2 linked regions of the Tamandua tetradactyla genome follow. The protein of the gene in region 1 purifies or fractionates together with the protein of each later gene. This does not show direct contact. Links are inferred from orthologs where the notes say so. Each region holds a gene or a part of one and is shown on either strand. Other genes may lie near its edges.

Region 1 (8,765 bases):
CAGTGTTTAATTGAATGAATCAGCAACTTTTTAGCAGCCAGCTTAGGGTGTAAAGGGATCTTGCTTAAACAATGGTGAAAGAACATTCTCATAGTATATAGTTTGCTTTACTGTTTAATTTAAAGCATGACAATATATGGTGATTCTAAATCCATAACTTCAAATTCTATTTATCTACATATAAGAGCTTTATTGAGATATAACTCACATACCATACAATTCACTAATTTAAAGCTTACAATTCACTGTTTTTCAGTATATTCACAGAGTTGCGCAACTATCACCACAATCAATTTTAGAATATATTCATCATCCCTACAAGAAACTCCATACCCATTAGCAGTCATTCCCCAGTCACATCTACTTTCTGTCTCTGTAGATTTGTCCAGTCTGGACATTTCATGTAAATGGATTCATACAATATGTGGTCTTTTGTGACTGGCTTCTTCCATTAAGTATAACATTTTCAAGGTTCATCCACGTTGTAGCATGTCTCAATACTCCATCTTTTTTATAGCGGAGTAATATTCCATTGCATGGCTATATCACATTTTCTTTATATATTCATAAGTTGATGGGCATTTGGGTCATTTCCCATTTTGAGTTATTATGAATAATACTGCTATAAACATTAATGTACAAGTTTTTTTGTGGATATATGTTTTCAATTCTTTGGGGTGTACACCTAGAGTGGAATTGCTGGGTTATATGTTTTACCTTTTGAAGAACTGCCAGACTGTTCTCCAAAGCAGCTGCACCATTTTACATTCCCACAAGTGGTGTGTGAGGACCCCAAATTCTGTTTCTTTGCCATCACATTATTTGTCTTTTTGAAATATTCATCCTAGTGCATCAAAGTGGTATCTCGTGATTTTGATTTGCATTTTCTGGATGAGTAATGATGTTGAATACCTTTTCATGTGCTTATTGTCCATTTGTATATCTTCTTTAGAGAAATGTCTACTGAAATCCTTTGCTCATTTTTAAACTGGCTTTGTCTTTTTATTATGAGATATAATAGTTCTTTTTAATACTTAGCTACAAATACCTCATGAGATATATGATTTGCAAATATTTCCTCCCATTCTGTGCTAGTACCTCTTCTTCTCCCATATGAAATGAGGGAGGTGATTCTAAATTCAGCACTCCTGAACTGTGCTTTATCTGAGAAGCCAATCACAGTGTTTCTAGTTTCCGGGCTGCTAAAACAAATACCGTACAATGGGCTGGCTTAAACAATGGGAATTTATGGCTCTTGGTTTTGAAGCTACACGAAGCCCAAAATCAAGCAAGGCATTTGTTTCTCCCCAAAGACTGTGGCATTCTGAGGCTGCTTCCATTCATCCCTCAGCCTTAGCTTTTCTGCCACATTGCAAAGCGCGTAGAGAGTCTTTCTCTTCTGGGTTCTGTTGACTTCCAGGTTCTGGCTGCTCCCCATGGCTTCTCTCTTTGTGGCCTTCACTATAAGGACCTATTAGGATTAAGACTCATCCTGATCCAGTTGGGCCACCTCAACTTAAGTAACCTCATCAAAAGGTCCTATCTACAATGGGTTGGCACTTATAAGAATGGATTAAGTTTAAGAATATGTTTTTCTTGGGTACGTAACTCCAAGCCACCATGTCTGGAAGTATCCACATTTTCATTTCCAGTGGTGGGTTTAGAAATGTATGAAACACAGCTTTGGCAAATAAGAGTATTTTTGAGAAAGTTTCTTTACGCTTCTTAAGAGACACTAAAGAGAAAGTTGCTTCTTCTTCCCCGGCCGCCTCTTGACCGCATGGCAGTCAGTGTCTTGGAAAAGTACTCACACTGAGGCCACAGGGTGGAGAGAGTGAAAAGATGAGTTCTTGAGATTGTAGAACTATAACTGGAGATTGTCTTTTCTCTGCACGTTATGGGAGATAATAAATTTCCTTATTATGTATACTCTGGTTTCTCTTCAGATCGTATAAATCTTTCGCTTTTTACTAAAGATTTCCGTGGAGAGAAGCACCTCTGAGTCTTAAACCAATTTTTTGAGGCCCTGTTTAGGCAAGGCTAATAAAACAGTTAAAAAAAAAGAGAGAGAAAAAAAATTTTCCTTATTATGTAAACTAGTTTGATATGGGGTTTTGGTTTTTGTACTCCAAAACATCTGAAGGAGTACATAAATGTTCCTTCCTGTATTAGTTAGGGTTCTCTAGAGAAACAGAATCAACAGGAAACACTTGCAAATATAAAATTTATAAAACTGTCTCACATAACCGCGGGAATGCAGAGTCAAAAATCCGCAGGGCAGGCTTTGAAGCCGACGATTCTGATGGAGGGTCTGGATGAACTCCACAGGAGAGGCTTGCCAGCCAAGCAGGAAAAAGAGCCTGTCTCTTCTGAATCCTCTTTAAAAGGCTTCCAGTGATTAGATTAAGCATCACTCATTGCAGAAGACACGCCCCTTGGCTGATTACAAATGGAATCAGCTGTGGGTGCAGCTAATGTGATCATGATTTAATTCTATGAAATGTCCTCATTGCAATAGACAGGCCAGCGCTTGCCCAACCAGACAAACAGGTACCACCACTTGGCCAAGTTGACACATGAACCTGACCATGACACTTCCTATGTAATGACTTTTCTCTCTACTCAGCTGGATCTTTCTCTTATGGCTAAGTGTACAAGAATTCTTTTGGAAAATTATTCTCCCTTCCTTAGTGCTGTAAACAATTCTTAATTTGGTTTAACTTCCAACATCAATTATAAATTCTGAGTATGTATCTGTGAATGGGTGGCAGGGGTAATGAGATATTGATTGATTCCTTTGGTTTTGGGGGTGGCTGGGTAAGGCCTGGGGGTGGCTGGAAACTTCACTGTGGTCATGCTGGTTCTGGCAGCAAGACGCTTCCTCTATTTATTAAAGAGTGCTGAACAAACACTATCATTTTCAAATATAGGCACTGAATTGACATATTGCTTATTTCAGAAAAATTAGAAAAAATATTTAATAATGCTAAACTCAAAGTTGATATGGAATATCCTTCTTGTAGCCTGTAGGTCAGCTGTTTTCCTCTTTACCTCTTTGATTTTGTGGATTGTTTTCATTGACCCTAATTTCTTCACAGGAATAGGGAGGCAATGGCAAACTCTGGAGCACTGGTTTAGAACACAGACAACCTGACTGGATTAAGGGTAAATCATCTAACCTTTCTAGAATTCAATTCCCTTCTCTGTCAGATGTGACGTTTGGATTATCTGACCTAGAGCAGACCAATTACTTTATTTTGATAAAAATGTCCCTACATTCATTAACCAGCATGCTTATTGTTCTTTATAACACTGTTGGTTATTTACAGCACTCATTTTTTTTCTTTCATTCAATTACTATTAGCCCTCTAAATTTCTGTTTTTTAAATGTTTAATGATTCTGAAAATAGTACATGGGTATATTCATTATCAGACCTCTTCTGATAATGAATAGTAACTTCCATGGTAACTGAAAGTGTTAGAAACTTAAAGAGGAAGTTCTGTGTGGGAGGATGAGAGGAGGTCAAAGAAAGAAACATAAATGGGTTTCAATATTAAATTTCTGAAATTATGTTGCCACAAGTTTTATTAAGTCAAGTATAAAATGGCATCCAAGAAAACACTGAATAAAACAAATTTATTATTGTTCTTTTGAGGGAGATAGGATTCTGAACAGATTTTGGTTTTGCTACTTAAAAAAAAAATTAACCTCCAATACAGAATTGCAAGTCTTTAAATGCCCCCTTAATATCTTTGTGGTGGTGATGGGGTGGGTGTGGGGCTGGGGGCAAGGAGTGTGGCAGACGAGATTGGCAAAGAGAGGATAACGAAATTACTTGCCTGTTTAGGAAAGACATTTTGATTCACTTATATTTGCTAGTGCGATGGTGAAACATTTTTACCACAAGTCTCTGCAGAATTAAGACACTTCAGACAAAATACCAGATAACGTGTTTCACACATAAAAGCATGATAGACCATAGCTTTACAGGTGAGGTAATTCAAGGAGCTGTTGAGTTTTAAATATCTCTGATACTAAGTGCTTTGACTGCAAAAATAACCTCAAAGGAACATGACCTAAAATTTAAGGAAGAGTTTCTTATCTAAACAATACAGTGTTTTGTTATGAGATCATTTTAATAAAACCCTTTTCTGAATTTTCCATATAATATGGGAATACTTAGGAACCTATCCTATTTTTGGCTCTGAAGTTCCCTACACCAGGCCAGCCTAAGGCTGTGGGGCAGTGGCAAGAAAGCAGCCTTGAGTTTTCATACAGAAAACTTCTCTGTACTGATCAGAAATACGCATTCTCCGGAAGGGTTTTGGTCAGTAAGAGCGAACCAGAACTTTAAATACCATTGCATTCATTCACTTATTAATCCAAAAATTGTTTATTACATATTTATCCAGGCACCAGAAACAGCTGTAGAAAAGGTAAAATAACCCTGCCTTCCTGGAGCTTGTATTCTTCAGGGGAAAATAGACAATAATTAAACGGTAAACAAAAAGCATTGTTTTAGATAGTGATGAAGAAGACAGTTGCGAAGAAAACAAAACAGGACAAATCTATACATAGACAAATTTTGTCTGTGGCTATTTTAGATTGTGTGGTCAGGAAAGGCTCTCTACAGAGGTGACATTTGAGTTGAGACCTAAATGACAAGAAGGAATCAGCAGGCAAAGTACCAGGCAGAAGGAACAGTTCCTGCACAGAAACAGGTAAAAGCAATGACTAACGTTACTGGATAAAACTTTTTGAGATTTCGGAAACGGCATGAAGGCATCTGTGGCCAAAGCACTGCAAGGGTAGAAGACGAGGTCCCTGACGCATATGAGGGGTTACGATCTTATTCTAAGCGTAACTGATGCCCACTGGAGGTTTTTGAAGAGGGATTGGGAGATGGGTGATATTCATTTCGTATTTTAAAATACAGTATCCCAAATGGCCACGCACTTTGATTTTACTTCTTTAAAATTTAACTTCTAATTCCTGTACGAATTGAACGACACCCCGGCCACCTCTGTTTTCTCAGGCTGTTTGCGCTCGCCGCGGGCTGGTTTGCACCCGACGCTCCCCTGTTGACAGCCTCGGAGGAGCATGTGACAGTTGGCAGGCGCAGCGAGGGGCAGCCCGAGCCAAGTCGCTGCAGGGGCCAGGGCTGCGGGAGGGGGCAAGGAGAGGAGGCGACGGCGGCCCTGCGCACAGCGAGGAAGGGAGGCGGAAGAAGCGGGGCCCCCCACGGGCCTCCCAGGGGTCAACGGGGCCTCAAGATGTTCCCGAGTCTCGCCAGGAGTGCCCGGAATCGACATCGGAAACAATGGTGGCTCGGGGCTGGACACCATGGCGCTAGGGCTGGAGGTGGGGGTGAGGGGTGGGGAGGCGACTAGGGGAGTTTCGGCTCCTTGGGCCTAGCAAGGCGCGGCCTCAACCTCAGCTCACCCAAGAGCCGCAGGTGTTGATTCGAGGCTCGGGTCCCGCCGTCCTTCTGCCCACATCCTGTGGCGCACGCGGCCCGGGGCCTGGAGATCCGGCGCCGGGTTTTGTGATCCGCCCGCATCGAGAGGCCGCACCCGAAGCCGCTAACCCTAGGACCCGACTCTAGGCCCACTGGGCCCTTCGGGGCTCCCTTCCCTCCCGTTGGACTCCAGGCGACCGACCGCTTGGGGCCACTGTGCTGAGGAGAGCTGCGGCGCCCTTTCCCTCGGGCCTTGGCGAACTGAGCTCCTCGGAGACCAGCTTCACAGGGAAACCGATGCTTCGCGGTCCGGAGTGCGACCTTCGCCCGCAGGCTCCTACTCTGTCTTCAAACCTCTGGTTCAGAGGCACCGGCTCAGCAAGTCCTGTCCTCCCGACGCCATTCGAATTAGCCACCCACTCACTCTGCATCCCACCACCCCGATTTAATGTTTTGCGGTACATTTACTCCATGTGTCTTCCGTGTTTGTTTTTTGTCTGCTCTGGAATGTACGTTCCACGGAGCAGGGACTTTTCCAGGCGCAGTATGGTGTTCCCGCAGCCTAGAACGGGGTCCGGGCCCAGGGAGCCCACTGACATTTGGTGAACCACAGGCTGCAGTTCTCGGCCTTGGAGAGCAACAGAGCCGCGGCCTCTTCGGGCGAGGGGCGGGGCTTGTGGCCCCTAGGCCTAACTTTCTACTTCCGCCTTCTTTCCCCCGGTCCCCCGAGGGCTGAGCCTGAGCCTCGCTTTGCCCTCAAGCCTCCCTCCCTCCTCCTGCAGCCACCGCAAAAACCCGGAGCCTCGAAGCAGCGGAGCGGCGCCACCCCTCGCGGCACCTCCCTGGCAGCCCTCGGCGGCCGCGCTGGGCATGCTCAGTCGGCAGGGCCGCTTCAGCTGGCGGAGTAGGAGTCTTAGGCGCTCCGGCTGCAAGGAGCCGCGGCGGGGTAAAATGGAACCTTTTACCAATGGTGAGTGTGGGAGGCCCGAGGCGCCGGGGTCAGGCTCTCACAAGCTCTCTGGGTTGCCGGCAGCCGTGACACGCGGGGACGGGTTTCAGTTGCCCCCATCGCGGGTGTCTTGCCTGGGTTTAGGGGAGGTGGTAGGAAGCTGGGGGCGGCAGCGGCCAGCGCGGGGCCGGGGGGCTGCCCCGGGTGGGAGGTGGCTGGGGGTGGCCGGGACCCAGAGCTCCGCTGTGCGGCGGGGCGGACGGACGCACAACAAAGTTTGGGCTGTTGTGCGCAGAGGAGGGGACAGCGGGAAAGTTGTCTGCCCCTGCTTTCGGGATGGTAGGGTTAAACCGTGGCGCCTGCCAAACCCAACTTCTGTGGCACGCCGGGCTCTGTCCCCTTGTCCTTCAGAGAGTTGCCGGCGTGACTTTTCCTAATAGGGCGGTGGGGGGGTGGGGGCCTTGGCAGACCAATGAGTGGAAGGAGGGGAAACTTGCGGGAAGCCTTGCTCACCCTCTGCCGAAGAGAGATGCCTATCCGCATTGCCACTTTCCTGTCTGTTGCTGAGGCGCTCTGCAGAGCGTTCGGCTTCCTGCCTTCCTGATAATCAGCTTTTCAGTCAAAGACTCGTTAAATATCAAGAGTCCGTCACGATGATATCACAATTTGGGTTGAGGCGAGAGTCAAAGCAGGAGCCTGCACGATGCCCTGCAAACTGCCACGGCGCTTTACTGAATGGAGTCCCATCTCTAATTAAAACGATGGCTTTTGTTTGCACCAGGAGTGCTAGAGTCACAATATATGGGTGAGATGTCTTACCATTGTGCGGCGTTGAGTATAGGATGCCTTTTAAGGATACAAAGTAGGAAAACTGTCAAGGGAGAATTCACGCTAAAATTAAGTAGATTCACTTCCCAGTTGATGTGTGGTTCATTACTTTCAGGTAGTTAGGCTATAGCAGTATCGAGGCCGGTCTCATCCCTGTTTGAATTGTCAGTTACCAGTCAAAAGACAGACATTGTCCACTCTATCCCAAACCTCAGCCAGACTTTGTTGTATGCTGTGCTTCGTTCATGGGGTCGTTATAACTACTCTGTCCCTAATTCAGAATGCTTTATTCTGCTGCCATCTTTCTGTCTGAGCTGATTAATTAGGTTTAATAATGACAACTTTAATTCTGAATTTTCTTTCTCATTTCAATTCTATTTGTAATTACTAAGGCTCTAAGAGTAGTCTGGTAAAGTTATCCAGAGAATCAAGGAAGATTTGAGCTGATTGGAGCCTTAGAGACCATCTAGCACTTTAGTATTATAATATATATTATAATATTGCGCTTGAATATTCCAGTGCTTATTCTTCCATAGATTTCTTGTTTGTTCTAGATAGAATGCTTGTAGCTTCCATGTTGGTAGGATTTTAAATGTACAGTTTCACCTAAATAAAAAAAGAAAAAATCTCTGTAGCATGGCTGCATCACCCATTTGCTCAAGATTATTAGTTGCTCGTTTGATGAACCTGCCTCTACAGAATTGAAGTACATTCTCAAGTCTTAAAATTTGGGCCTGTTTTCTTTTCATAGAATACGCTGTTCTAGATGTGAATATTTGCAAAATTGTCACATATGGGAGGGCAATGGAAAAATCCCAGGGTGGGGGGGTGGTAAGAAAAGGAAGCAATGCTTCAGCTTCTATGTAGGAAATTGGATTTCTAATCCTTGCCTATGTTTCATATATTCAGAGTCTGTACTGAAGACAGTTTTGCAGTACATCATTTTAGTTAATGTGTTATTCCTCCCTTGTACTCTTTTCTTGTGTTCTTTAACAAGGAGAACAGAAACCACATCTTAAGTTAAAAAGAAATTAGATGCGGGCCACAGTGGCTCAGCAGGCAGAGTGTTCGCCTGCCATGCCAGAGGACCCAGGTTCGCTTCCTGCTGCCTGCCCATGTTAAAAAAAAAAGAGAAATTAGATGCTAGCAAATTGAGGTAATTTTCACATTGAAGATGGGCTGGGTATTTATTTCGGACCCTTTGAAGGAATAGATGTAAAATTTTCTAGTGTCTTCAAACATCACATGGTTTAGTGGAAAGTATGTTTATCTTTGTACTTAATTGACTGCAAATGATATGCATATATACTTCTCCTGTAGGTCCGTATGTTCTGTGCAGAGTGTTTCATTATTCACAGAATTTCTGATTGCAGGATTTATCAAGTTTGAAATTAATTAGCTTATGTTACACATTCATCCTCTTTTAATTAAAGTCTTTACCACTTATGCTTTCATATATTCCTATAATGAAGAGGGATGTGTCACTTAACAAAAGAAAGTTTCTGTAATTCAGGACCACATATCTTTTA
Region 2 (8,756 bases), on another chromosome or scaffold:
TGTGAGTGTAAAGGGGGCACTATATTAACAGGAGGACTGGATGAAAGTCTCACAAGTTAGATCCCAAATGCCCTTCTCCATCCAATGATGATGGATGGTCTCCACTCAGGAAGAAAGCCGGGAGGGGAAATACAATGCAATTTAGGGGTTATCAAGGACAATCTGACAAGGATGGAATATTGTGCTGGTTTGAAGCTGTTATGTACTCCAGAAAAGCAATGTCTTAATCCTGACCCAGTAATGTGGGGGCAGCCATGCTTCTTTTAATCCTGATTCAATATTGTGGGGCAGAAACATGGGTCGGATTGTTTCCATGGAGATGTGACACACCCAATTCTGGGTGTGACATTTTGATTAGATGGAGATGTGACTGTACCCATTCAAGGAGGGTCTTGATTAGTTTACTAGAGTCCTTTAAAAGGGGAGGCATTTTGGAGAAGACACAGTTGCTTCTGAGCTCATATAGACGCAGAATGTGGAAATGCTTGGAGAGCCGACAGAGAGAGCAGATGCCTAGACACAGACGTTAGGAGATGCAGATCCCAGCAGATGTCATCACATGCCTTCCGATGAGATGCTGACAAGCCAGAACCCAGAGTTGGGTCCCGGAGGAGCTGAGTGAGGCCCACAGATGCTTAGAGAGGAAGCCACTGGCGTCAGAAGCTGGAAGCAACGGAACCGGGAACAAGGACCAGCAGATGCCACCACGTGTCTTCCCATGTGACAGACATCAGCCTTTCTTGAGTCAGGGTATCTTTTTCTGTATGCCTTAGTTTGGACATTTTTATGGCCTTAGAACTGTAAACTTGTAATTTAATAAATTCCCTTCTTAAAGAGAATTTAAGACAGAAAGAGCAACCTTCAATCCACCTCCAAGTTCTGGATAGCGAAAGGCAAGGCCATACTTCTTTTCCTGTCCTTGGATTCTTTGGTGTCCTTTGATAGTTTCCTTGAGTTAGTCTCAATATATTTCTATTCTTTATAGGCAGAAAGAGGTCCAAATGAAAAAGCTCTTAAAGAAACTGGAAAAAAAGAATTAGAGTAGCTAAGCTAATTATCCTAATGCATAAAGATTTCTTACTGTGCACTGGTTAGAAGCTGTTATGTACCCCTAGAAGGCCAGGTTCTTTTAATCCATTCCTGTGGGTGCAGACCTGTTGTCTTGGTTAGGTTTCAGTTGCCATGTGACCCAGCCCAATTTAAGGTGGGTTTTTATCCTTTACCGAAGTCCTTTATGAGAGGATCAAAGGAAGAAAAAGCCGAGAAAGCTTAGAGAAAAATCTCCGGAGATGCTCAGAGAGAACCTACAGAAGCTCAGAGAGGAAGCCACTGGAAGCAGGAGCTGAAAGCAGTGAAACCTGGGAACAAAGGACCAGCAGATGTAGACCAGTGCTTTGCTATCTGACAGAGGAAGCCTGGCTGCCAGAGGGCTTTCCTCAGAGGTATTGCCCTGTTGAGGCCTTAATTTGGACATTTTCATGGCCTTAGAAATAAAACCCCATTGTTAAAAACTGACCCATTTCTAGTATGTTTAACCTCACTGTAATAAAAGAAACCTCAATTAAAATAATCTCGTATTGTTCTGTGCTTGTCAATTTCACACTGCCACATTAGTGTCGGTAGAAGGAAATGACCGTTCCTTGCTTAACCAGAAAGAAAGGGCCTGATGGAAATGTAGGGTGCCCCTTCTTTCCCCGTGCTCCTCACTCCCCTTCAAGCAAAGGATGGTGAGAATGAGTAAGGATGAGCTAGCTGGCTTTTCTTCTGGGATCTTGTAAGGTGGAGGAGGCAACTTAATATATAAGAGGAGGTTGGAAAGGAAGGATAAATTGATCAATGCCTTCAGTACAGTTTTGCTTATGTATTTTGTTTGTTTTTTACATGGAGAGGCACCGGGAATTGAACCTGGGTCTCCAGCATGGTAGGTGAGAACTCTGCCTGCTGAGCCACCGTGGCCCACCCTGTTTACAGTAGTTTTAAAATAGTCTTTTTTTTTTTTTTTTTAGTAACTAAGCACATATTTTTACATATGTAAAAATCTATTTGATTATTGAAAAAATAATACATGCATCTCATATGTATGTATGTATATATGTCTTCTTTCTTCCAGAGTCTCAAGCCCTCATAGCAGTTTCTTGTAGTTTTCCAGGGAGCCTGTTTGTCCAAGCTTTTATTTTTAAGAATATATCTCTCTTTTCAACACAGAAAGAAGCATATTTTACTAAGCACTTTTTCACGCAACACTGTCTTGGCAGTCATTCCACATCAGTATATATATACCCTCACCTCATGCTTTTCATACTTCATCTAACCAATTCTCTATGATTGGTCAATTCGATTTTTTCTAGGACTTTGGTACCAAAACAATTATGCAGTGTGTATAACTTTATATGTTCATACATTTTATATGTATATACCTACCAGAACAGTATGTGGATATATTCCATACACATATGAGGATATATTCCCAGGGGTGCAATTGCTGGGTTAAAGGATATGCATATTTCAAAATGGATATAAATAATTCATTTCGAAAAACTTGCAGGTTATACAATAAGGTCAGAAAATATTCAGTCCCATTTCCCACACCTCTAACATCTAAGAACTATACAATGCTTATTTATTTTAATGAGGTATTTTAATGCCGCAGGTACCTTTTGAATTGGTAAGAAAAATTTCCTTCTTCCAAGTTCATTGTCAGCCTCCTACACTGAAGAACATCATGCTCTGGTGGAAAAATCCGCATCCCGAGACCTGCTCTGTCTCAGGCCCAAATCCATATTCCCAGGTCCAACCAAGCCTGAATTACTTCTTTCTGTTGGGGTTCTACCACCTCCAGTCCAGGCCCCAAGCCTCTCTGCACTGGCTTTGTTTCTCTCTTTCCTTAGCCTTCTGAGTCCAATGGGCCATTTGTCAGCATTAATATTTAATGCTTTTATTTCTGCATAGGAAGCCATCTCCGAATTTTCCCCTTATCAACTGCAAGCGCTGGTTTCCTTACCTGCCTGTTTCAGACCTCCCTGGAATGATGGTTAAAATAAGGCTTCCCCCAACACTGAAAACATGACACAAACTTAAAATGTGAAATTTCTCCCTCTAAATTCCTTGGCTAAGCCAGGCTCCAGCTCAACTGTGGAGCCACTTTACCATCTCTCACTTTAATGAACATCCTTCTCCAGCTTGAACACCATTGTCCACAAACACACTCTGCTTGGTTTCTTACCTTTGCACACGCTGTTCCCTCATCTAAAGAAACCTTCCTCCCACCCTCTACTTACAGAAAACCCACACAGCCTACGAGGCCCAGCTCCCATGTTTTCACTTTCCCTGGCCATGTGTGCTGGTTTGAAACTGTTGTTCCCCAGAAAAGCCATGTTCTTTATTTTAATCCCATTTTGTGGGGGTAGGCCTATTGTTGGGTGGTTTTTTTTTTTTTTAACTTTTTTTAAAAATTGTAAAGTACAACATATATACAAAGCAAAGCAATCATTTTCAAAGCACACTACAACAAATAGTTACAGAACAGATCCCAAAGTGTCATGGGCGACCATTCCACCATCTTAGATTGTTCCTTGTAGCTGCTCCAAAACACTGGAGGTTCGAAGGAATATTAATATAGTGATTCAGCTGCCATACTCATTAAATCCCATTTTCTTTGTTATACCTTCTCCTTTAATCCTCCTCTTAATCTATAGGGATTTTTTGGCAACGCCTGTTCTTTTTTCATGTTGAGAACGGATGTGGACAGCAAAGGATATGGGCACATAAATAAACTGATAATCTTGGAGAGGCTGCTCCCTTTGGGTTTCAGGATTTATCTGACCTAGGAATTCTGGTTTTTAAACTTTTTGGTTAAAGTGTTTCCAATCGTGGGTGGTGCATTTTGATTAGGTGGTTTCCATGGAGATTTCTCTACCCATTCAAGTGGGTCTTACTCCACTTACTAGAGTCTTTAAGAGAGAAGAATTTGAGAAAAAGTTTAGAGCTGGTAAAGACTTTTGGAAATTCAGAAAGAAAACGTCTCCAAGTGAGGTGTTTGAAACCAGGAGCCAAAGGACCACAGATGCCAGCCACATGCCTTCCCAGCGAACAGAGATACATTCCATGCCATCATCCTTTCTTGAGTCAAGGGGCCTTTTCCTCAATGCCTCAGTTTGCACATTTTTATGGTCTTAGAACTGTAAACTTGCAACTTAATAAATCCCCCTAATAAAAGCCAACCCATTTCTGTTATATTGCTCTGCAGCAGCATTAGCAAACTAAAACATCATCCTACATGCAAGCAGTTCTTCCCTAATCAGAACCCCACCAACTTCACTTGCGTACCCCCATCTTTTAGCACTTAACCTTTGCTGCAGCAGCGACTTGGCTCACTCTACCTCACTTTGAAGCCCTTTGTTTGAAATATTATGTTGCCTTTAATTCCTACTTTCCCAGTTAAGCAGGAAATAAAAAACAAAACTCCCTTATGCACATTTGGAGCCTGAGAGGTGGCAAACGAAACTAAGGCAAACGCCAGACCCTGAACTCCTCAAATGCCCCTCCGGGAGATCCACCTGGCTTCTATGACACACCCACTGGCTCTAGCTATTCTCCACCGAGGATTCGGCCTTTGGGGAGCAGAGCGGACGGGAGACGGAGCCCTGGGCCAGTTTTCAAGCAACCCTGGGTCGCTCTCACTTCCCGAGCTTCTCGGCATAGTAGAAACTGCAGATGTGCTGCAGGCGGGTGACGCGAGCTATGCGCGTCTCCACGTCTCTGCCGCGCCGGCCTTCCGCGGGCCTGTCGTCCGCGTGTCCGCGCGGCAGGTCTGTACCGGCCTCCACTGCAAGCGGGCCACGAGGCGGCCGCGGCGCGGAGTGATGACGCACAGGAACGCGCCGGGGACTCGAGCCCAGGCCCGCGGGCGGCCCTCGGTGCCGGGCGCCCAGTCCCCGCGCCGGCCCACAGCCCGGGAAGCCTTCCCCACCAGCCCCGAGGATCAGGACCCAGGGCGTGCGCGAACCCAACGCACCTAAAGCGCGCGGCTCATCGGGGCCGGCCCCGCCCCAGGACGCGCGCGCCCGTCGTCCCCGGCCCCGCCCCTCCTCGCTCGCCCAGCCGGTAGCCACTTCCTTCCTCGCATCAAGCCAATCGGCGCGCTCCACGAAGAATAGCCCTAGGAGGCGTCTGGGAAGGTAGCTCGAGCGATGGCCACGCTGACCAACCACAGCCCGGAGCTCGCGCGCGAGGGCGGGACTTGGCTCCCGCCGCCACCACTCCCGAGCGAGGGGCCGTCGCGGGGCGGGACGCCCGCGCCGAGGCTTCTGGGAGCTGCGGCACGTGACGGCCGGGCCGCCTCCGCCGCCGTCTCCACTGCAGCGCGGGGCCGGGCGTGTGTGCAGGCGCGAGTAGGCGCGGGTGCCGCCGGCGGTCCCCGGGAGGCTCGAGGTGAGGCGGGGGCTTGCGAGGGCCCCAGAGGCCGGGGGTCGGGGCACTGGGCCGGATCTGCCGGCCCCAGGCCCCGGTGGGCGCGGCGGCCATGAGGGGCGAGCTCGGGACCTGGGCCTCCTCAGCGGGGGAACCGCGCCCAGGCCGCGCCGCCGGGGCCGGGAGGCGTGGCAGGTGCACCGACCCTCGCCGGCCTCGGGAAGGCCCACCTGCTGCCCCGGCCTTGCGCCTGGGCCTTTCCTGGGCCTCTTCTTGGTAGTGGCTGCGGGGTGGGTTGGAGCCGTCGGGGAAAGATCCCGAGTGGAATCGCGCCGTGTCGGCACTCTCGGTAGGGGGAAGGAGAATACCGGCCGAGGGAGAGGATGCAGGATCAGATTGAGGAATGTTTGGAAAATAAGATTTCGGAGCGAAGCCCGGATCCTGGCACCCCGAGGGGTCGGAGAATGTACTAGAACCTAGCTAGGGGGCTGAGAAACTTTAGTCTTAGCGTTGCAGTACCTCCGGGGGTGTGGGGAGTGACCCCGTCGGAAATTCCCAGTGAAAGGGAAAGCTCACGGAGTTGCGACTCGCCCTGCGGTGGAGGAAACCGACAGGCCCAAGGTCATGCGATTGGTTTAACGGGCGGTTGAGGGTATGATCCAGGGCTAGGTCGTTTCGGTGTAGTGGCGAAGGGTAAGGCCCTGGTTCAAATCCCGCCCGGGCGGTTCGCTAGCTCTGTGAGCTTCGGCAATTTCCATAACCTTTGTGCTCCAGTTCTTGGCAAATAGTGGATATAATAATATCTGGCGGCGTTGAGGAATACATTAGGATGTTTAGAAAATAGGACAGGGAAGCCTGATTCATATAGCGAATGCTCGATAAATAATGATTGCGATAAATGATTGAAATCTTGATGTTGTTTCGCTGTATTGACAGTCCTGTTTTTGAGTTGGACAAGTCTTGTTTTGCAGGACTTGAAGACACCTTGATGGTCTGGGGGGAAGAAACTGGAGCGTGTGAATTAACTTGCTGGCATGACACCAGTGAATGCTGGTTGAGGGAAGTTACACTGAGCTGAACATTAAATGCTTGGGAGGACAGAGGTGAACGACAGTGACGTCTCTTCTAATTTTAAGAAATGGAAGTTTTTGCTTAGCTTTTTAACAAGTAGATTTTGTTTTAAGGGGAAGCAGTGTAGCAATCTTTAAAATGATGCTATATCTTCCTGTAACAATGTCGGAGGGTCCTGAGTAGAATCGACTGCCCCCTTGCACGTTTACTATAATTATCCGTAGAGCACAGGTGAAGAACTGTGTGGGAATTCTCCGTTCCACCAGCCAGGGGCATGAGAAAAGGTCCAGGTAACTGGATTGTGTGACTGCTGGAGAAAAGTATTGGCATGAATGTTGCACAGCAAATGAGTCTCCAGACCTATCTGAAAATGGGTGTCAGCATCCCATCCACCCCATTCCCCCAACCCCCCTTACTATCTTAACTAGGCAGATCAGCTGTCATGTTATCTTTCACAGACCACGGAGTAAACATTGTGGCAGAAGTCATTGCTGCAGTTTTGGCAATCACATTGCTGCATCCTTTCAGTAGAGTTCACTTTGTCCTGCAAGATATCTTACAAGAAAGGAATGACAGTTGGTAATTCATAAGTGTAGGCTCAAGCTGAGCACAGTAATTAGCTCATGTGCTTCCCTGGTTTACACATCTTTAAAATGGGAATGAGATGTCTCTTCAGATGCCTTACTTTTAGGAGGCTGTTTACCTTTGTCCATCTTAGCACGAAGCTTCTTTGAAAAGTGTAGAAAATTGGGCAATTAGGAAAATTGGCAGCTCTTAATAATTCCTGGAAGATAATAAAAGTGCCAAAGCATAGGTCAGTCTATATGGTTTACTGTAGAACTTCATCATAAAAATGCTAGTTCAATGCCTTGTTACTGCAACCGGTGTACAGTTTTAAATTAATTTGGAGAGGAGTGCAGCGGTAGTTCAGTGGTAGAATTCTCACCTGCCATGCCGGAGACCCAGGTTTGGTTCCCAGTGCATGCACTTCCCAAAAGAAAAAACAAAAATTCAACAAATGGTGCAATAATGGGATACTCATATGGAAAAATAATGAAATGTGACCCTACTATACAGCATACAAAAAAAAAAAAAAGAATTTGGAGGATCTTCAGTATGTTTCAAGTATTCACTTCTTAAACTTACTTAGTTGAGAGGAAGAAATAAAATGTTATGGAAAAGTCCATTCTAGTGTTCTGTCAGTGAAAAAATCCATAAAGGTCAACAAGGCAGTTTGGAAGATCTACTTTAAAATGGGTGAGCGTTTACAATAAAGACCACTTTGTATTTTATCTACCTTTTAATTTCCTTTTATTATTTTGTTTTTGACTAGATATGCATGATGGTAAAACCGGAAGGTACCATATGAAGCAGTAAGTTGGTTCATCTGTGACTGCTATTCTTTTAAATGGTTCCTTTCCAACCTAAGACTTAGAGTTTCTTATACTGTCTTAAAACTCAGAGTTTTGAAACCTTTAAAATATGACAAATAAAAGGAGTTATTAGACAATATCTAGTAAGAGTAAAAAAATCCCAGCTGTTGCTGAATATATACTGTAAGTAAGCTAGGCATGTCGCATGCATGGTGTCTATGCAGCAGTCTTAAGAGGTAGATACTGATATTCTCATTTTCTGGATGAAACAGCTCACGCCGAGGGGTTAGTAATTCACCTAAGCTTGTAAGTTGTCAGGTGCTTGAGCAGGACTTGGGAGTCCCTGCTCATAAACACTCATTGCTATTTGTTCTTGGATAGGTTATGTAACTTTAGACTTAGTTTCCTCATGTGTGGAATGGGCATGATAGTACTGACCTAGAATTGTGATGATTAAAGTAGAACACACAGGTGTCTAAAAACTACAAGCCTTGACGTTTTAAAAGGGTATAAAAATAGAAGAATGGATCTGTTACGTCAGGGAAAGCCTGCCTTATTTTTTAGTATGTACTGCCTTTTTTTATTTAAACAACCAGGAGCATTAGACTGGATAGTTTCTTCTGTTTCTCTCTCTAGTCTCATGGGTTCAAGGAGTTAGGATTTAAAATGTCACAGGAAGCAACTACTCAGTTTCCTAACTTCTTTTAAGAAACTAAGTCCCACAAATAAGGTTCAGGATCAGATGGCTTCACTTGTGATTTCTGCCAAGTACAGAAAAATTAGCACCAGTCCTTTACACACTCGTCCAAAAAATAGGAGAGGGTCTACTTCCCAACCTATTCATTGTATTAGTCCAAGATAACCCTACACCAAAACCAGACAAAGATGTCACAAGAAAAAGAA

Evidence for each region.
Region 2: the proteins of LNPEP (region 1) and CANX purify together in Homo sapiens (affinity purification with mass spectrometry; 3 studies listed by BioGRID and IntAct, with this or other methods). This does not show direct contact. The link is inferred for Tamandua tetradactyla from reciprocal best matches to the Homo sapiens genes LNPEP and CANX.

Annotation. Positions count from the first base shown.
Region 1 is NC_135347.1:34,099,220-34,107,984, reverse strand, and holds the start of LNPEP (leucyl-cystinyl aminopeptidase), read left to right. Parts: upstream 1-5,117; 5' UTR 5,118-6,329; coding exon 6,330-6,429; intron 6,430-6,908; exon of another isoform or gene 6,909-7,209; coding exon of another isoform or gene 7,210-7,213; intron 7,214-8,765. UniProt on the Homo sapiens protein: Release of an N-terminal amino acid, cleaves before cysteine, leucine as well as other amino acids. Degrades peptide hormones such as oxytocin, vasopressin and angiotensin III, and plays a role in maintaining homeostasis during pregnancy.
Region 2 is NC_135346.1:1,594,544-1,603,299, reverse strand, and holds the start of CANX (calnexin), read left to right. Parts: upstream 1-5,319; 5' UTR 5,320-5,430; intron 5,431-8,756. UniProt on the Homo sapiens protein: Calcium-binding protein that interacts with newly synthesized monoglucosylated glycoproteins in the endoplasmic reticulum. It may act in assisting protein assembly and/or in the retention within the ER of unassembled protein subunits.